2 linked regions of the Drosophila melanogaster genome follow. The protein of the gene in region 2 interacts with the protein of the main gene of each other region in a pairwise test. Each region holds a gene or a part of one and is shown on either strand. Other genes may lie near its edges.

The links. Proteins that work in one complex are often made in the same cells at the same time.
Region 1: the proteins of RpLP1 (region 2) and RpLP0 interact in binary tests that used the Drosophila melanogaster proteins (3 or more experiments, as listed by UniProt).

The regions. Positions count from the first base shown.
Region 1 is NT_037436.4:22,074,332-22,078,197, reverse strand, and holds RpLP0 (ribosomal protein LP0), read right to left. Parts: upstream 2,332-3,866; 5' UTR 2,272-2,331; intron 2,164-2,271; 5' UTR 2,062-2,163; intron 1,951-2,061; 5' UTR 1,911-1,950; coding exon 1,857-1,910; intron 1,783-1,856; coding exon 883-1,782; 3' UTR 711-882; downstream 1-710. Other genes in the region: CG7130 (uncharacterized protein), read left to right, coding at 2,564-2,950; CG7133 (uncharacterized protein), read left to right, coding at 3,862-3,866. UniProt on the Drosophila melanogaster protein: Ribosomal protein P0 is the functional equivalent of E.coli protein L10.
Region 2 is NT_033779.5:418,433-421,569, reverse strand, and holds RpLP1 (ribosomal protein LP1), read right to left. Parts: upstream 1,619-3,137; 5' UTR 1,496-1,618; coding exon 1,424-1,495; intron 1,279-1,423; coding exon 1,012-1,278; 3' UTR 706-1,011; downstream 1-705. Other genes in the region: CG11885 (uncharacterized protein), read left to right, coding at 204-629; CG13690 (uncharacterized protein), read left to right, coding at 1,970-3,013. UniProt on the Drosophila melanogaster protein: Plays an important role in the elongation step of protein synthesis.

The DNA of each region.
Region 1 (3,866 bases), on a different chromosome or scaffold from region 2:
AGGGTATAATCTTATAGGATAACCTATGACACGACCCAACTACTTCCGAGGTGGCTCACGATCCCATCTCTGAGGTCCAAAGAGGCCTGCGGAGGATTTATTTTCGTCAGGGCTTTTCATTTCGGTCCGGCTATTTATGCAGTGTTTAACTTGGCCCGCGGCTACTGCTTCCCCAGCTCCCATCTCCTGACCACCCTTCCGCCACCCCCCCCCCCTTGAGCACTCCAGGCGCGACACATCGCCGCGAGGGCGTGGCACTTTCACGCCCCAGTCGCGTAACTCATTTTCGCTCGCCAGACGAGCAGAGCAAGAAATGTGCAGGAAACTGGGAAAAAGGGAAGGAAAGTTTCTTTTGCCGCCACTTGGCACATTCTTAATTTCTTGCGTATTTTGTCAAGACAAATTGAATTTTTATGAGCGTCTCTCCTCCGTCGACGATGTCCTTTGCGAAAAGCAAAAGAAATCGCAAAAGTCGCAGCCGACAACGGCAGCAGAAACTTTAAACTTTTCTCATCTTGTGAAATTCATTTTATCGCAAGTAATTACTTTGTAAATATCCGGATGACCGGGAGCAGCTGCAGGCGGTACCTGCCGTCGCTCGGATATTTAAAGGGAAATGAAGAAAAGTGGGAAGCCTTTGGATTTTGGAGTCCTAATCCCACCATGTCCACCTATCCCGATTCGAGTGCAAGTTTAAAAGACAGTTGAGTGCGCTTTCGAGCAGTTTACAGCATGTTTAATGCAACTCGCCATTGGGTCCGTCAAACCGCGGCAATAATTTGCACATAGAAAACATAACAAAGGGTCTTAGTGGGTAAACGCCGAAAGCGGAAGCGATGGTTCGCGGGCGCCGCAGAGGGCATTCTGCAATCGGGATCCAGCTTAGTCGAACAGACCGAAACCCATATCATCGTCCTCCTCCTCTGATTCGGACTCGGGCTTCTTGGCCTCCTCCTTCTTCTCGGTAGCTCCGCCGGCCGCGGGGGCAGCCGAAGCCGAAGCAGCTGCGGCGAACTTGCTGGGGTCCTTGATGTACTCCTTGATGGTGGTCGCCTCCTTGAACTCCACCTCGGTGGTGGCAGCAATGGCCAGCAGATTCTTGAATCCGTTGGCAATGCTGTGCGGGGCCGAGGCGATGGTGGGGTAGCCCACGGACAAACAAACGGCGGCCAAGTTGGCCACTCCCTGTTGGAACTTGGCGCGCAGATCCTCGGGCTTGATGTCCAGGATCTCCGGCGAAAAGATCGAGCCGGAGTCGTAGACCTGGTTGACAATCAGACCGTACGAGAAGGGCGAGATGTTCAACATGTTGAGCAGTGTCGCCTCGGAGGCGCCGACCTTGTCGCCAGGCTTCAGGATGGGCACATCGTTGATGATTTCAATTGTTCCCTTGGAAATTTTGGTCGGGATGGACAGGGCCTGGAAGAAACTGGTCTTCTCGGGTCCCAAGCCGGTGTTCTGCGCCGGGATGATGACGTGCAGAGGGGCAATAGCGCCGGGACGGGCGGGGGCGCGCACCTTGGACTCCAGCAGCTTGTCGCGCACCTCGGCGAGATCGCCCTTGGTGAACACGAATCCCACGTTGCCCTTGATGTGGGGTAGCAGCTTCTCCAGCTGCGGGTTGTTCTCCAGATGACCGCGGATGGCCTTGCGCATCATGGTGTTCTTGCCCATAAGCACGACGGCCAGTCCACGCAGGCTGGTACGGATGTTCTGCATCTGCTTGGAGCCCACGTTGTCGGCGCCCACGATGAAGCACTTTGGGAACTCATCGAACAGTTCCTGGAGGAGGGATCAGTTAACAGCATAAGCCAGGCGCCAGCTAGTGAGCGAATTCTATAAGGTTCTATACTTACCACAACCTTGATGAAGTACTGAGCCTTCCACGCTGCCTTGTTCTCCCTAACCATTTTAATTGTGTATTAGGGACTCGTCGGGTGAATTTAAGAACTGCGAAAGGCGTGATAACGATTAGTCTTTGCTGGACCACCGCCGTGGAACAGTTATGTACCCGAAAATGCTCGGGATGCAACATTATTCCGAACTTTTAGCAACACTTACCAAAGCACAGACTTTTCGGTTTTCGCTCACAGAACGGAAAGAGTGAAGTTGGCGGCGGCACCCAGTGTGACCGCTTCGATGGCGAATAAGATACCGCACGGTCTGAAAAAATACCAAAACCGGTAAGCGATATGAATATTTTCTATTTTCGAAATGTGTAATTCCTTTTAAAGTACTCAAAAAAGATAGATTTAACAGATCATTAATTACTAATAGGCTAATAGTGCTCCTATACAGCTGCTACGATCGTCAGAATCTCTTCTGTTAACTAACAGTGCTTCTGGTGGTAAGGTAGGGTCACTCTGGCCACTGGCGGCCGATAATTTATCGATTGACTGTTTATTTGTAATAATGTTTTAAATCAGCGAATCGAATCAGCAATATATACTCGCATTACCACATAAGCACCAACAAGTCGAGACGCTGCCTCACATTCCATACACGGCGCAACACCGCTAGACGACCATCTCAGCCAGAACAAGGAGAATACCATTTCACCACAATGGGTAAGGATTACTACAAGATTCTGGGCATCGAGAGGAATGCGTCCAGCGAAGACGTCAAGAAGGGATACCGCCGGATGGCTCTCCGCTACCATCCGGACAAGAACGACCATCCGCAGGCCGAGGAGCAGTTTAGGGAGGTGGTGGCCGCCTTCGAAGTGCTCTTTGATAAGGAAAAGCGCGAGATATACGACCAGCACGGCGAGGAGGGTCTCAAATGTGATGACGAGCCTGCTGCGACCTTCGCCCAGCCCACGCCAGACATGCTCCCCTTCATGTGCGCCGTCGGAGGAACCGTGCTCTTTGCGTTCGCCGCCTACAAGACATTCCAGTTCTTCAACCGGAAAAAAGAGGCTACCCACGGCGATGGATCCTCCTCGGACTGAGCTAAGGATCCAAGGGCTTGATGAAGCAATCTCGGGTACCTAGCGTTCTTCGCTGAATAGTCTTTAAGATTAATTTATAGGAACTTAATTATTGACTGTTTATCTAATGAATCCTGCGTTACTTATTGATTAATTTATTTATTTATTTAGTAAGATAAATAAAAATTATGGAATTCGTCCGACTGTTGCTCGAAAATAGCTAATACCTTTAGCCAAATCGAATGATAAAACGGATAAATACTGTAAGACGAACTAATAGTTTTGTTTTTTTTTAATTTAAAAAACGTTTATGCGATACAAATAGTAAAAAATATAACAATGCCATAGTAGAGAAAATTAAATGCACTTGCTTATTACAAATTGTTGCTAAGCAGAGCCAGTCTGCTACTACATATAGTATGTACAAAGACACTAGAATAATAATAATAGAATAGAATAGAATAACACTAGAATATTCTAGTGTCTTTGGTATGTACCAGATAAGACGGAAATATAATGGTTTGTTCTGAAAAAAAAGACATATTTTTCTAGATTTTGTTTCTGTTGGCCACCTAATGACTCGTATTCTCAATAAAATATGATGGCAAATGAAGAAACGAAAGACGCATTTATTTTCCTTAAACAATATGTTCTTGTCGCGAATATTATTTCGCTGACACGATGACACGACAAATGACACGATGTATTTATCGATGTTGTTTCCATACAAAGATAACACACATTTCAGATGTGCATCTCTATTTGTAATGAAAGAATCAGCTTTAGTGTTTTCTCAGGTTTTCCCAGTGCCTTACATCCCGCAACATAAACATCAATAAATACCGACTTCTGCACCAAAAACCACTGACCATCGTGCTACTATCGATAAAATCATCTAATTATTCTCCCATCAAATAGACCAATTGGCCAAAATGAG
Region 2 (3,137 bases):
GCGCTCTCAGGAAATCAGTGCAAACGTTTGAACTGCGTGCTTCGGGAGTCACGAAACTCGGAACCATTCGGCCACACTTCATATTAGCACATCAATGCATAATGACTATCGATAAAACATCGATGTATTTTTCATCGTTTTTTCATGCTGTCTCATCGTAAACAATATCAACATTGTTAAACGCTTTTAAATTCTCTCAAAAAATGAACCACACAGCAAACAAACCTCGACAAATCGGATTCGACAGGCAGTTCTCAGCGGACGTGAACGGCGTTCCCACGGAGATAGTGTTCCACTGCTTTGCCAAGAAGTGGTTCTTAGTCATAACGCAGCTCGGCAAGATTCCCGGCATCTACAACGTGCACTTCGATGTCAAAAAGGACGAAAGAGTGGTTCCCTATTTGCACGGACCCGTGGACAATCCGGAGTTCCACGTATCGGTGCCAATCACGATGAACTGCTGCTTGGGCTTGGACACCGACGAGACTCGCAGCGCCATACAGTTTCTGGTCAACAGAACCGGACTCCACAAGTGCCCGACGGAGTTCGTGGTGGGCTTGGGTCTCAAGAAAATCGACGGACCCAATCTTCGTGCCCTAGCTAAGGTCCTCGAGGAGACGTTATTCTAGTCTGCGTTCGTTATATCCAATAAATATTAGCTGTGACAGTTTTTGTAAAAAAAACCTTGAACATTTTAATCGTAGCCTTCAACCCGGCTGACCAAATTATTGGCCATTCTACTGCAACCTCTTTCATGTGCTTAAAAACCCAAAATAGAATCTACTCACAAAAAGGCAGTGGAATGACCAATAACATAGTAAACCATAATAATTCTGCACCGTTGTGAAAGGAATGAGTCTCGATAATTTTTTAGCAAACGTCTTCTATATTTCCTCACATTTGTACATTAAAAACGTGTACGCAGGTCGGGAAACGGGTACACGTCCACCTCTCGAGGATTACAGCACAAACACAACGGATGTCCGGTTGTCGAGAAGTTCTCTAGAGGATTTAGTCGAACAGACCGAAGCCCATGTCGTCGTCAGACTGGTCGGACTCCTCCTCCTTCTTCTTCTCCTCCTTCTTGGACTCGGCGGCTGGAGCAGCGGCGGCGGCAGCAGGGGCAGCACCACCGGCGGGAGCGGCACCAACTCCGGATCCGATGTTGGTGATCAGGTCCTTGACGTTGATGCCCTCCAGGGCCTTGGCGAAGAGACCGGGCCAGTAGGGCTCCACCTCGACGTTGGCGGCCTTCAGGATGGTGTTGATCTTCTCACCCTGGTGAATCCAAAAAATAAGATCAGCACAAGTTGCAGCAGTGCGAAAGAAACCATAGGACCCGCAAATTGTCCAATACTTCCGGCCGATGGCCGCGGCTTTGGAGGATTTGCTTCGTCCCCGATTGCAATATCGAAAAACTTACGGTGACGGCGACATCGTCATCGACGAGGATGAGGGAGGCGTAGACGCAGGCGAGCTCGGCTTTGGTGGACATGTCGAAGTGCTGTGGCTAATCACTGATTGTGCAAGTTGCCAAAAATTAATTGTTTATAACAAATGGCCTTAGCTCGGGACGAGAACAAGCACGCTGGTCAAAATCCTAAACCGGAAAGAGCAGTTGATATGCAGTGTGACCGCGCCGATGACGAAGAAAAATACCAACCGTCTATGAAAATTTGCATATTATTGTCAGGAAATACTAGGTAGAGGAAAACTCGTTCAAACTGCCGAGATTATCTCTTATTTAAACTAGTTTATTTTTAAGCATCTTGGACAGAAGCCTTAGCATAATTCTCTGGTTATATGTTTATCTCTCTATTTTAATAAAAGACCTTTCCGTACGGTTATTGAGAATATTAAAAAAAAGATATTTTGGTATAATGACGAATGAGTCACACTGCAACTTTATGTATACAATTAGTGTGCCCATAGCGTCGTTTAAACGTAAACAAAAAAAAAGCGCGCGAAAATGTCGGACCAAGAAGACGTAGTTGTAAAAAAAGAAAAAAAATGTATAGAAAATATTGATGAGAACGACGAAGAGCCCGATGATGTAGATTTTAAGGACAGCGGAAAAATAAGCTCCTTGAAGGCCCTGGGTCCATTTATAGCCGGCAAGGAGAATAGCCGCAACACGGTTTACCTCAGCGATGTTCCGGATATTTGCAAGGATAAGCCGTGCATGCTGGGCGTGGACGAAGCAGGGCGTGGTCCCGTCCTGGGACCTATGGTATATGGGATCTCCTACTGTCCACTGGAAAGTAACAAGGCTTTAGAGGACCTGGGATGCGCCGATTCCAAACAACTAACCGAGGGGAAACGTGATATCATATTTAACGATATCAACACCAAGGAATATGCGACCAGTTGCGTTGGCTGGGCCGTGGAGATCATATCGCCGAACACGATCAGCACCAGCATGTACCGGCGGTCGAAGTGCTCCCTGAACGAAGTTTCCATGGACTCGGCCATGGGCCTTATCCAACAGGCGATCGATGCGGGCGTCAATATAGCCGAGGTTTATGTGGATACGGTGGGTCCGCCGGAGAAGTACCAGGAGAAGTTGCTCAAACGTTTCCCCAGCTTTAAAATCACCGTGGCGAAAAAAGCTGACTCCACCTATCCAATAGTCTCTGCTGCTAGTATATGCGCCAAAGTTACCCGTGATCATGCCCTCAAGGTGTGGAGCTTCCCCGAGGGCTTGGTCATTAAGGACAACGAGTTCGGCAGTGGATATCCGGGAGATCCGGTCACAAGAAGATTTCTGACCGAGTACATCGATCTAGTGTTTGGATTTCCACGACTTGTGCGCTTCAGTTGGTCCACCGCGGAAAACGCACTGGCGGACAAGGCCTATGACATGGAGTTCGACGAGCCGGATTCCGAGAAGCCCAAGTACGCCGGCACCAAGCTCACAAAGTTCTTTAAGGGCACAACAAAATCCGGCGAAATAATTCGCGAGGAGTGCCGCTTCTTTAAGCAACGCCATCTGGAAAGTGTCATGGAGTTTTAGCAACAAATGAAAATAAAATTAAGTTCAGGAGTATCTATATTTACAAAGAATAAAGTTTAATTTAAGTACTTTAGTATTAAATTTTAAAATGCTAAAATACAAAAAACACCCAGGCCCAAAACGA